3 linked regions of the Alligator mississippiensis genome follow. The main gene of each other region encodes a partner of the protein of the gene in region 2 in a complex. Links are inferred from orthologs where the notes say so. Each region holds a gene or a part of one and is shown on either strand. Other genes may lie near its edges. The genes, in order: CDH26, CTNNA1 and CTNND1.

Evidence for each region.
Region 1: CTNNA1 (region 2) and CDH26 share a complex: the UniProt entries of both Homo sapiens proteins name them as parts of the cadherin:catenin adhesion complex. The link is inferred for Alligator mississippiensis from reciprocal best matches to the Homo sapiens genes CTNNA1 and CDH26.
Region 3: CTNNA1 (region 2) and CTNND1 share a complex: the UniProt entries of both Homo sapiens proteins name them as parts of the cadherin:catenin adhesion complex. The link is inferred for Alligator mississippiensis from reciprocal best matches to the Homo sapiens genes CTNNA1 and CTNND1.

The regions. Positions count from the first base shown.
Region 1 is NC_081832.1:7,416,560-7,420,304, reverse strand, and holds the start of CDH26 (cadherin-like protein 26), read left to right. Parts: upstream 1-1,053; 5' UTR 1,054-1,060; coding exon 1,061-1,123; intron 1,124-3,745. UniProt on the Homo sapiens protein: Cadherins are calcium-dependent cell adhesion proteins. They preferentially interact with themselves in a homophilic manner in connecting cells; cadherins may thus contribute to the sorting of heterogeneous cell types.
Region 2 is NC_081832.1:45,892,396-45,896,140, reverse strand, and holds the start of CTNNA1 (catenin alpha-1), read left to right. Parts: upstream 1-1,171; 5' UTR 1,172-1,256; intron 1,257-3,745. UniProt on the Homo sapiens protein: Associates with the cytoplasmic domain of a variety of cadherins. The association of catenins to cadherins produces a complex which is linked to the actin filament network, and which seems to be of primary importance for cadherins cell-adhesion properties.
Region 3 is NC_081825.1:172,458,627-172,462,371, reverse strand, and holds the start of CTNND1 (catenin delta-1), read left to right. Parts: upstream 1-1,038; 5' UTR 1,039-1,178; exon of another isoform or gene 1,179-1,473; 5' UTR 1,474-1,553; intron 1,554-3,745. UniProt on the Homo sapiens protein: Key regulator of cell-cell adhesion that associates with and regulates the cell adhesion properties of both C-, E- and N-cadherins, being critical for their surface stability.

The sequences.
Region 1 (3,745 bases), about 38 Mb from region 2:
TCTGGCAGGGGAGGTACCATAGTATTAGTCCAGGGGGTTTTCTGCTGTGATCCCCTTCTTCCTGACCTCTGAATGACTATGTGTAGTAGAGAGTGGAGACCTCTGTCCTTGCACTGCAGGCAGGCCCCCCTAGGAGAGAGCTCAGCTTCACACCGATTTTATGAAGATGGGGGATTTGCCCCTAACTTGCTCGTTCAGACTGTTGGTTAAAGGCAAATGACATGCAGCATCCAAACCCCAAGACCTCCATACTTGGTCCTGCACGTAGGCTGCCTGCCACGGCTTTGGAAGTATCTGAAGCTTCAGGCTGAAAGGTCTGGGAAAGAGGAGACTTGCTGGTGGTAGTGCCACATGGATTTGAACAACTGAGGTCAGCTCAGTCGATAGGATTTGGAACCGATTTGGCTAATTTATCCTGGAATACAACATTCAAACAAAAAGTACCACTACCATGGACAGGAGTCCCCTGTGGTTCAGTGGTAGAATCCTTGTCGACCAGACAGGAGACCTGGGTTAATTCCCAGATGCTTATACAACTACAGCCAAACATCTGGACTCAGTCTGGTCTTCGGGCTCTGTCTGAGTGGCCTAAAGGGAGGACGGAAAGTCTGCGCAGCCTCCGCTCCTCCAAAACATTCCTGCCCAGGCGTATGCGTCGAAGGTCTGCGTGACCCTCAGGCATACACCACGATCCAGGAGGATCAGTGGTTGCCACCACCACGGACAGGCTGTCCAGAGGTAACATTTGCTTCCCTAGCACCTCAGGTTTGGATGCAATAAAGCCAGTGGTCAAGAACAAAGCCAGTGGCTGGAGAAGGTGAGGGCAGACCCCAGCCTTTACCGCGGCTCAGGGGAGACTGGAGGGGAGCCCAGGGCCAGGTTGGGTGCAAGGAGCCAAGCTCGTGCCTCGCGCAGGAGAGGCCGGTGGGCGGGCAAGGAGCGGGGCGGGCGGGGCGGCGGCGATGCGGGGGCAGGGGCAGGGGCGGGGGAGGCTCCAGCGCCGCTCCCATAAAGGGAGCCGAGCCGCGGAGAGCCGGCTGCCATGGGGCGCTGCGCCGCGATGCTGCCGCCGCCGCCGCTGCTGCTGCTGCTGGTTCTGCTGCTGGTTCTGCTGCCGCTGGCGGTAGGTGCGGGCGCGTCCCCGGGGCGTGCAAGGGCAAGTGCAAGTGCACGTGCACGGGCGTGGGCGCGTTGCGATGGGAGGGTTGCACGCGAGATGCCTTCTTGCCCGTGGATGGGGAGCCCGATCCCCTGCTCCCCTTGCACTGGCAAGAGGCAGGGGTCACCGCCGCCGGGACCTGGAGGCACCTGGGTCCCGGGGCCTCGTTTCTGAGCCTGGGATCCTGGCAGCCAGGACCCCGCGCCCTGCGCTTTCATATGATTGCCCTTGTCCCATCAACCAGTTAATTGCATGATCCTTGTAGAGGGGGCTTGGGGTGCCAGTTTCCTTTGGTCTACTTGACTTCAGACTCCCCCGGCTCACTAGTCCCTTCTCCCCATCACTACTCCCCGCTCCCCATTACTAGTCCCCGCTTCCCGTCACTAGCCCTCTCTCCCCGTCACTAGTCCCTGCTTCCTGTCACTAGTCCCCTCCCCCGTCACTAGTCCCTGCTCCCTATCACTAGTCCCCTCTCCCCGTCACTAGTTTTCTCTCCCCGTCACTAGTTTTCTCTCCCCATCACTAGTCCCCTCTCCCCATCACTAGTCCCCTCTCTCCGTCACTAGTCCCTGCTCCCTATCACTAGTCCCTGCTCCCTGTCACTAGTCTCCTCTCCCCATCGCTAGTCTCCTCTCCCCATCACTAGTCCCTGCTCCCTTTCACTAGTCCCTGCTCCCCGTCACTAGTCCCAGCTCCCTGTCACTAGTCCCCTCCCCCCGTCACTAGTCCCTGCTCCCTATCACTAGTCCCCTCTCCCTGTCACTAGTTTTCTCTCCCCATCACTAGTCCCCTCTCTCCGTCACTAGTCCCTGCTCCCTATCACTAGTCCCTGCTCCCTGTCACTAGTCTCCTCTCCCCATCGCTAGTCTCCTCTCCCCATCACTAGTCTCCTCTCCCCATCACTAGTCCCTGCTCCCTTTCACTAGTCCCTGCTCCCCGTCACTAGTCCCAGCTCCCTGTCACTAGTCTCCTCTCTGCGCTTTGGAGCTCCTGGCTGCGCAGAGGCATCAGGCTTGCTTCACCCTCTTGGAAGAGGGCTATATCCTTTATAGCCAGAGTCCCTTCCTGCCTTGTAAGGTGAATGAGCATCACGAAATTACTACCGTGGTGTGAAGGAGTCTCAGTCATGGGCTAGGGCTCCATTGTGCCTGGTGCTGCATGAACAGCAGAACAAAAGGATGCCATGGAGATCCTGTAGTCCAAATATAAAATGATGGGGAGAGGGGAATATAGACAGACCGACATGTGAGTGCAAGGAAACCAGTTAAGCTATGTTGATCAGTATGATAGGCAGTGGTCTTTGCATCTGTGGTCTAGGTATTAAAGTTGTGGTCCATCCTCACTGAGGTTTGTGCATTTGCTTCACTCAAAGTCTTTCTCCAGGATCCAGCTTCTAGACAGGTGCAGGGAGAGGCCATAAACTTGACTGTTAAATAGGCAGGTTTTGGGCGGCACGGGGGGGTGTTATTCCTTCCATTATGACCTGTTAGAGTAAAAGCTGTATCGAGTAGGAGCCTCATTTAAGGATTTGCTGGTATGCTTGTCCTGCACAGCAGATGCTTGGGACAGACTCCCATCGCGCTGTACAGCTGAAGTGGTAGTTGTGCAGCTGCCTAACTCCTGTTTTTGGCACTCCTGCACCAATTTGGACTCCACAAACCTCCATGCAGTGAACTAGATGCACCCTGCTCACCTGTACGGGCGCTTGCTAGTAAAACCGAAGGACACAGTGGGTCCTTCTGTGTTTTAGTTCAATGCCTTAAACCAGAGCTTTCCAAACTGTGTGCCGCGACACATTAGTGTGTCGGCGGCAGTGTGTAGGTGTGTCGCGCGAAATGCAGAAAATTTTGCGGAGGGGCACTGCGGAGCTCCCTTACTCGCGTCTGCTTCCCTTGGCCCCTCCCCCGGAACTGAATTACTGTGTCGCGAAATGATGCATGTCTAAAAAGTGTGTCACCAACATGAAAAGTTTGGAAAGCTCTGCCTTAAACACTGAAGTACTTGTTCAGGGAGCAGCAGATCCAGGTTTTAAGCTCCCTTCGCTCAGAGGGGGATTGAACCCTGTATTTTTTGCTTATCAGCAAGTAATTCTTATCAGCAGATCAAAGGTTTGGCATTATCCAGACCCTCCTCCAGGGAACCTCCAAAATGAATTGATCTTGATAAACAAGTCACTCGGTCTCTTGAAGTAAGGGGCTCCGTTCTGTTGGACTGGCCTCAAGTTAAGAATATATCTACCTTAGTGTCCCTGAAGCTTTGTCCAAATACAGTTTCTCCTATTATCCCAAGCATGTGCCATTTTGGCCTACTGTGCCCCCGTAAGCTATGTGCTATGGCAAAATGTTAAGCCCCTTGAAAGGGGAGCTAAGAAGTCTAAAAGACAACTTCAGTCTCTGGCAGAGTTTATCATATTGGCCTGATTGCCCTCCCCAGAGTGTAGCTGGCTTAGCAAGTGAAGAAAATAGTGGGTCAGTGTCTCCAATCCAAACTCCAGTGACATGGAGGATGATAGGAGCTGTATCTTCAGTACAAACTGCAGACTTGTCTCAGATAGACAGGACTCTCTCTGAAGCTGAAGGTACCATT
Region 2 (3,745 bases):
GTGGCAGGGGCCATGATTGTGGGATCAGATCCCCATTGCGCCATATTGCTGGTTCAAGGGTGGCATGGGATCATGATCCTGGCAAGTAAGAGGCCAGTCAGCTCATCCCTGCTCCCAGCCCCTGGAGCGCGCTGGAGTCCGGGGCTCCTGTGCACCCTGCGGCTGGGAGTGGCAGCTGATCTGCCCTGGTTCCCTGCCTCAGGGACACGTTGCCCTTAGCTGCGATGTGTCTGAGCTGGGCGTGGCAGGCAGCTGAGCAGCACTCCCGGCCTCCTGAGCGCACAGGAGTTGAGGGCTTCCAAGGCTTTTTTTTTTTTTTTTTTAAGAAATTTGTTGTGTTCCAGCCAAATCAAGTCCAAATCCATGAGTTGGTCCAGAACCATAAGTGGCCCTGCGACTAGCAAACATCCTCCACCCCCATCTGGGGCTTCAGATATTTCCAGAGTTGTTTGGCAGGCATCCTATGTGCAGGCCCAAGCCTGGAGGCACGGGGTTAGGATGTCCCCAAATTTTGCCTGCCCTCAGCCATGCATCTGCAGGAGCAAGCTAGGGAGGAGCCTCCCATTTCCATAAACTGGTCTTTAAGCCCCAGCACCTCGGAGGGTACTAAACCACACCACAACAAGTTATCCCCCCGAGCGCTTGGGGGAAACTGCCTTCACCGACCTGACCCAGGTGTTTCCCCCGCCAGGTAAGCAGGCCTGCTGAGGAGGGCCATTGAGCTGGGCCACATGGGCGGTTTAGGGCCCAACGGGAACCAGCCACAAGGTGAACAGGACAACTGAGCTGGGGTGGTAAGGTTGCGGTTCACTCTGTGGTGCCACTGACACGGGCCCGGTTACTGCAGGACTCGAGTCCCGGGTAGCCGGCTCGCTGTTGTCAGCGCCGTCTGCCCAGAGCCACCGCTTCGCAGGAGCAGAGGAGCCCCGCGCCGGCCGGTCCCGTCCAGTCCAGTCCCGTCCAGTCCCGCCTGCCGAGAAGCGTCGGGGCGCGAGCTGGAGTCCGAGCCCGCCGCCGCCGGGACCTGCGGGACGGGACCCGCCCCGCCCCGCCCTCACCTGTGCGGGGGGCGGTGCGGGGAAGAGCCAGGGGCCGGCGGGGCGGTGCTGGGAACAGCCGGCCGGGCCGCGGGGGGAGGTGCCCGGAAGAGCCCGCTTCCTCCCCTCTGGCTTGGGACGGGCGCGGCGGGCGGACAAAGCGGCGCCGGGACAGACGCACGGACGGACAGCGCGGACCGCGCACCGCACCGACCGCAGGTAACTCCCGGCCCGGCCCGGTTCCGCCTCTTAGAAACTTTTCCTGCTGCCGCCCCCGCCCCGTGCGCCCCCTCCTCGGCAGGTCCCCTCCGCTGGGCCGGGCCGGGCCGGGGCCGGGGCGCTCGGGACCCGCTCCCAAAGTTTGCAAAGTGCCGAGCGGGCGCGGCGGGAGACCCGGGGGGCCCGGCTGTCCCGGGCAGGCGGGCGGGGCCGGCGCCGCCGGACGCGGAGAACAATGGCCGCGCCCGCTGCTGCCCTGTGGCTGCCGAGGCCCCGGGCCGGGCCAAGGGGGTGCGGGCGTTGCTTGGGTCGGCCGCGAGAGGGGCCGGGCGGCCCCCCCCCCCCCCGCAAGCGGCGGGAGGCGCGGGGGTGGGGCGGCGCTGACGTCACTGCCGTTCCCCGCGGCGATGCCCCCCCACCCCACCCCACCCCACCCCACCCCCCCCGCCCGGGCGGCCCCTTCCCCGCCCCCCCCCCGCGCGGACTGTGACGCGTCCTCCGGCTCCCTGCGCGACTGCACGGACTTCGGAGCCGCCCTTCCCCAGCCCCTCCCCCGAGGGGTGTTTCCCCCATAATCAGCGTGAGGAAGAAAGCCCCTTGCATGCAAGGAAACCTCCTCACCTACATTGTCGGCAGCTTTTTGGGCAGTGCTAAAAAGGCCTGAGCCCGGGACTTGTAAGGTGTGGCAGGGGCCCGATCCTTGTCGTGACAGCGGGGCCACGGCCCCTTCTCTGCCTTCCACCTTGCGGGGCGGGGGGTGCCAGGGAAAATGCCTTCACATGCCATGCTCTGGCACCGGTGCTGGGGATTGCCATCTTGAACTATCATGTGCTCAGCACTTTGCTCCCGCAGCTGAGCTGTGCCTTTCTTTACTGTTTCCAATGATTCCTGTTTCTTCACTAGCCTCAAATGTCTGGCAAATGCCACCAAACTGGGAAGGAGCAAACAGGTCACGCAGGATCCCTCTGTTACGCCCCCTCTTTCCCCAGCACCATTTTTAAGTGCTAGGACATTGATCCCCTGATTGAACAGCCTGCAGCTCTGTCCCGCTCCCCGCCCCAGCTCCAGGGTCCCATTCACTGCCCTGGTTGGGCAGCGCCCCCTGCCCCACTCTCTCCCTCCCTGTGGGGGCCTCGATCTGCCCCTGCCCTTCCCCTCCACAAACTTACCTGCACAGAGCTGCTCTCCAGGCTGCCCGGCTGTGCTCCTGTAAATGGGTTATTGGATCAGTATTGGCTGATATGCCTGATGAATAATCAGCTATGGGTATCGGCCAAGAAAATCTTTATTGGTGCACCCCTTCCTTCCATAAGAAAGGAATTTGAGAAATTAAGCAGGAGTAATTACACTGGGTATAATTTCAATTCAGGTTAAAATTCTACCTAAATAAATTTTCAATTTGTAGACTCTGGCAATGTTTGGGTTTTTTTGTTTGTTTGTTTGTTTTTATAAAAAGCAATTTCGCCATAAGCTTCAAGGGAAGCATTTCAGTAACTGAATCAGGCAAAAAAAATGTCTAAATTATCATTTCCTTCACTTAATTTTATCAGACCTGTGAAATGTTTATGAATTCATTGTCATTTACAGATATCAAACAGCATCTCAAAGTTCATAGAAGGGAAACTAAATAGTTCATAATGAGCCTGTTTATTCTGCGTACTTCAAAAGTTTAACACTGACCATAAAAACTGCAAGACATTTTCTTAAATGTTTTAGTTAGGGAGATGAGTCCTAATTTTTAAGCCATGCTGTGTGTTTTTCCCTACCACTTTAAACCTTTGATCTCTGCTCCAGAAGTTTTGAAAAATAACTGAAAAGGTAGAACTACCATATTTACTAAAATGTAAGATAACTGGGGATAGATGAAACTCATCTCAATAATTAGTTCTTCTTGGGGAAAGGGGATGAGCAGAGGGATAGAAGAATTTGCATATGGGTTATTTTAGACTAGGCAAACACAGAGAAGTGTGAGGAAATTTAAGAAGCTTCTGATAAGTGCATGGACAGCATGATGCCAAATGCAGTTCCTTATGGATAGTTCTTTTTAAAGAACGTTGGAGAGAGATTTTTATCTATTTGTGCACCATAGAGCTTGACTTGTTTAGGCTCATTGCCCTCTAAAACTTTAAACTTTAGTGGCAACCCAATTTAAAAAAATACAAATGGATTACAAATATTGTAATTATTAAAATAAGTGTAATGATAACTGTTAATAGAGTCTTAATTTATTAGATCATTATTCACTCCACTGCTGCTGCAGCCATGTGGAACTGTGCTGTATGCCCTCTGCAGAGCCAGATTGGGAAGCAGCTATGGCAGGAACTTGTGGTCTTGCTGCAGCTCTTCCGAGTCTGACCCTGCATGGTGTCTCCTGGAAACAGATGTGTGGGGCAAGTGAAACTGTCTGCCTTTATTATGTAACACAGACAGTGTGTCTTTCTGCTGCAGCTACTTCTCAGTTTAGCTCTGAGATGCCTCCTAGACAACAG
Region 3 (3,745 bases), on a different chromosome or scaffold from region 2:
TGAATTTTCACATAAATATTCAAGCCATGAGTCCTTCCCAGCAACTCCCACACTTAGCTAAGTGCTATCACATAGCACTAGTTCTCTCACAGGTTGGCACTCTTAGAAATGTAATCAAAGCAAACATCCTTCACAGCCACAATGCAAAAGTTTAGAGCATTTTTCTCCCTCTCTGTATTAATTGGTGGTTTGTAAATGTAATTTACAAGCTGTGAAGTGTATTGAATTAGTAATAGAAATTGTATTGAATTATACAATACAATACAGTAATACAAACTGTACTGAATTAGAAATACAAATCAAAGGAGCTCTCTTCTTCACTGTTTTTTAGGAGAAAGCAGGGAGTGAAAATTCCTAATCTGCTTTACCCAAAAATCAGTGTGCTTAATTGCTAGCAAAAACCTCTGGTTGAAATAAAACAGGAAACCACCCCTCAACCAAGATTTGATGGCAACTCTCACAATCTGGGCTCATATAGATAAATGTAGTCTAATCAAGGTTGCATTTCAAATCTCAGCCTCTCTTATCGGTTGATTATAAGCATGTTTCCCAACCCTCCTTTTTGCAATTCCCGTTCTCCTTTTGGGGTGCAAAGGAGGGAGGAGAGCACAGGAAACAACTACAAATATGTATTTGAGTTTGCCAACACAGAGAGAGGAGTGAAAGAAGGGAAAGAAAAGACAAATGAAGAGTGCTGGTAGCTGAGCCACATCTATACCCTAATGATTATCTTTTCAAGTTTGCTTTGTCTTTTCTCGCAGCTATTTTTTATTTCCTGCTCTGATTTTGTTTTCAGTTGTCTTCACCCAAAAAAGTTATTTTTCTGTCCCTTCTTACTCTCTCGCGCGCCCCTCTCCACCTTTCCTTTTTTGTTTTTTTTCCTCATTTTTTCCCCCTTTTTTTTTTTTTTTTTTTTTTTTTTAATTCCTAGACTAAAGTTTCCTATTGGATGTTTTCGGGTCCCTGATTGATGCCTGCTTCCCATTGGAGCTTTGCAGAAGCTGACATCACTTAGGGAAAGAGGGGTTGGGTTGGCAAGCTTAGTTTGTCACCACCCAGCTTGCTTTGCCTTTGGCTGGGTGCAACTTCCATTTTAGGTGTTGGATCTTGAAAGAAGGGGAAAGAAAAAAAAACCGCCAGAGAGAAAGAAAGAAGAGAAGATCCCAGGCAAGGGAGAGGTGGAAGAAGAGATTGCCGCTTTGCTCTTTTTAAATTCATTTGATCAGGGATTGGGCTCTCGTTTTCCTGTTAGGGATTTCTTGGGAAACTCGACTTTAGAGTTCTTTGGTGTGGCTTTTTTTTGTGGTGCGTGTGTTTGTAAAGGGCGAAAAGAAGGCTTCCACCCAGGGTCTTTTTTTGTTGTTGTTGTTGGATATTGTCATGCTGAGATATTAAAGAGAGGAGGCAGAGGAATAACCCGGCTGACAACTTCTCCCCCTCCCTCTTTCCATTTCTTAATCTGCTGCTTTGAAGAGCGGGGGAAAAAGATACAAGGAGGAGAAACCAACTTGGAGACTCTTGTTGGTGCAACTTTGAGAGGGGAGAAAGCCAGGGTAAGACTAGTTTCTTTCTTTTCGTTCTTTTATTGTTTTAAATGATGGTGGTGGCTGCTGTTGGTTTTTTAACTATTTCTGTTCTGGGGAGGTGAGTGTATCTGATGCAAACTAATACACAACTCCTGGACTGCGGTGTTGCAAGAGGGCTGATTTTATTTATATATCTATATTTATATATAGATATCCCCTATGTTTCCTAGGGGAAGGAATTCAGTCATGTTTAAAAAGGAAGCTTCAAGTTTGTTTGCACTAAGTAGGATATTTCTTTTAAAACTTTGGGAAAACTGAGAATTTCAGGGTGTGTTTTTTGTTGTTGTGTTTTGTTTTGTTTTTTTTGTTGTTTTTTTTTTAACTTGGTCAGGTCTCTCTTTTCAAGTATTCTCACTGGGAGTGTGGTTAAGCTGCTTTCTCCAGTACATTTTTTAGACCCACACTTTCTGCATGGGTGGATCCCTTTTTTCTTCCAGGTATAGTTGGGTGGGGACCTTTCTCTTAACCTTCTAAAAAGAATCCATGTTGAAGGAGAACTTCCCTCTTGATTTTTTCCTTTTTTTTCTGGGGGGGGAGGAGAGGAGGGTGAAATAAATGCAGGAGGTTTTTCCCTACCAGCCCCTTCAAGGATTCCAAGCTCTGATTGACAACTTGCTTGTTGACTTGCTCGCTCTTTCCCCCCTCCAAAAAAAAAAAAAACTTTACTGTTTTTGAAGTGTGTGGTAACTTAAGCACAGTACATTTTTTTTTCTTCCTTTAAATTCTTTCAAAAGATCATATACATTTGGTAAATGGGATGCATCAAAATAGCTTGGTAAGCAAACAGGCTTGAGTCAGTAATGTAGGAATGCAATGTAGTAAGATTTAGATGGCATTTAAAAGAACATCTACTTATACTCCCCGTAACCTGCCTTGAGCTCTTGTAGTTTTGTCTGGCATGGTGCTGTGATTTGGACTTGTTGGGTTTTGCTAAGAATGTTATATGAAAGCAACACACTAGGGTTTAGGATCCCCTGGTAGTGATAGTATGGGGTCTTTTTTCCCACCTCTCTAAATTTTGTAATTTCACCATAAAAAAGAGAAGTATCTAGTTTCAGTTTAATTGTGGCAGGCTAGGGTAGGGAACTAGACTGTGCTTCTGTATTCAGAATCATTACAGGGAATGCAGTGTGTGCTTAATGTAACAGTTCTGGAAATATGGTATGCTTTCTTTTCTCGCTTTGCTGTGCTAAGATGGTAATGCCTTATCTTAGATGACTAGATTTCATAGCCAGAGATTCTTGGAGGGGTGTGTGTAGGGGGGGATTTTTCTAGGTGAAGAAAACTAGGTCCTGGACCCCTTAAGACCCTTGTCTTATTCTGTATAATTAAACACCTGCCTCATTTCCCCCCAGCAAGGTCTTGGATATAGCAGAACAAGGAAAACGTTGTCCTACTTCAAGCAAATGTTTCTAGGGCTATTTGGGAGTGGTCCCTTTCAGTCCTGGGTTATGCTTTGGCATCTGTGGGGAAAGACCATCGAAGGCACTCTGAAAAGTAGTTTCAGAAGGATTGTGTCTTGTGGTAAAGGAGCAGCACAGTGTTGAGAGGCTTGGCTTGGGGTCTCAGCCTTTCAGTTTGCTTTGTATTGCTGTCTAACCCCCCCCCAGTTCCTCACCTCCCATGTCAGACATTTGACTGGGTTCTGGCGTGTCACTACTTTGAGCGAGGCATGAACTAGGAGGCTTTTCCCTCCTGCCCCCAAAACAAAGGAAGTTTGTGTGCCAGCCTCGCAGCTCTCTTGCAAGGGAATGAGAGAGTATAGCTCATCAGACAGGCATTTAGCATTAGAACAAGGGTTGTCTGGTGTTACAGACAGCGTCCTGTCTTTCTTCCCTGCTCTCTCATCATAATATTCCCTTTGTGTCAGAGGAGGGGGTAGGGGAGGTTTCTTATGTGTTGGGAGCAGGGAGTATTTTGGTTATGCAGATCTTTGGGGGCTTCTGAGCAAGGAAGGGGGTGGCTAGGGCCGAGTATCCTGAACTTTAAATCTTTTTTTTTCTGTGATGCTCAGGATCTTAATCTGTGTGGGAAGGACGAAGGGATCGGCTTTGTGCATTTGCAAGGGGGAACTCCACGTAGACCAGGCTTAACAATTTTAGCTCTGCCCTGGCTAGCTTATCTCTCTTCCTACTCTGTCTCCTGCTGTCTAATTTGCC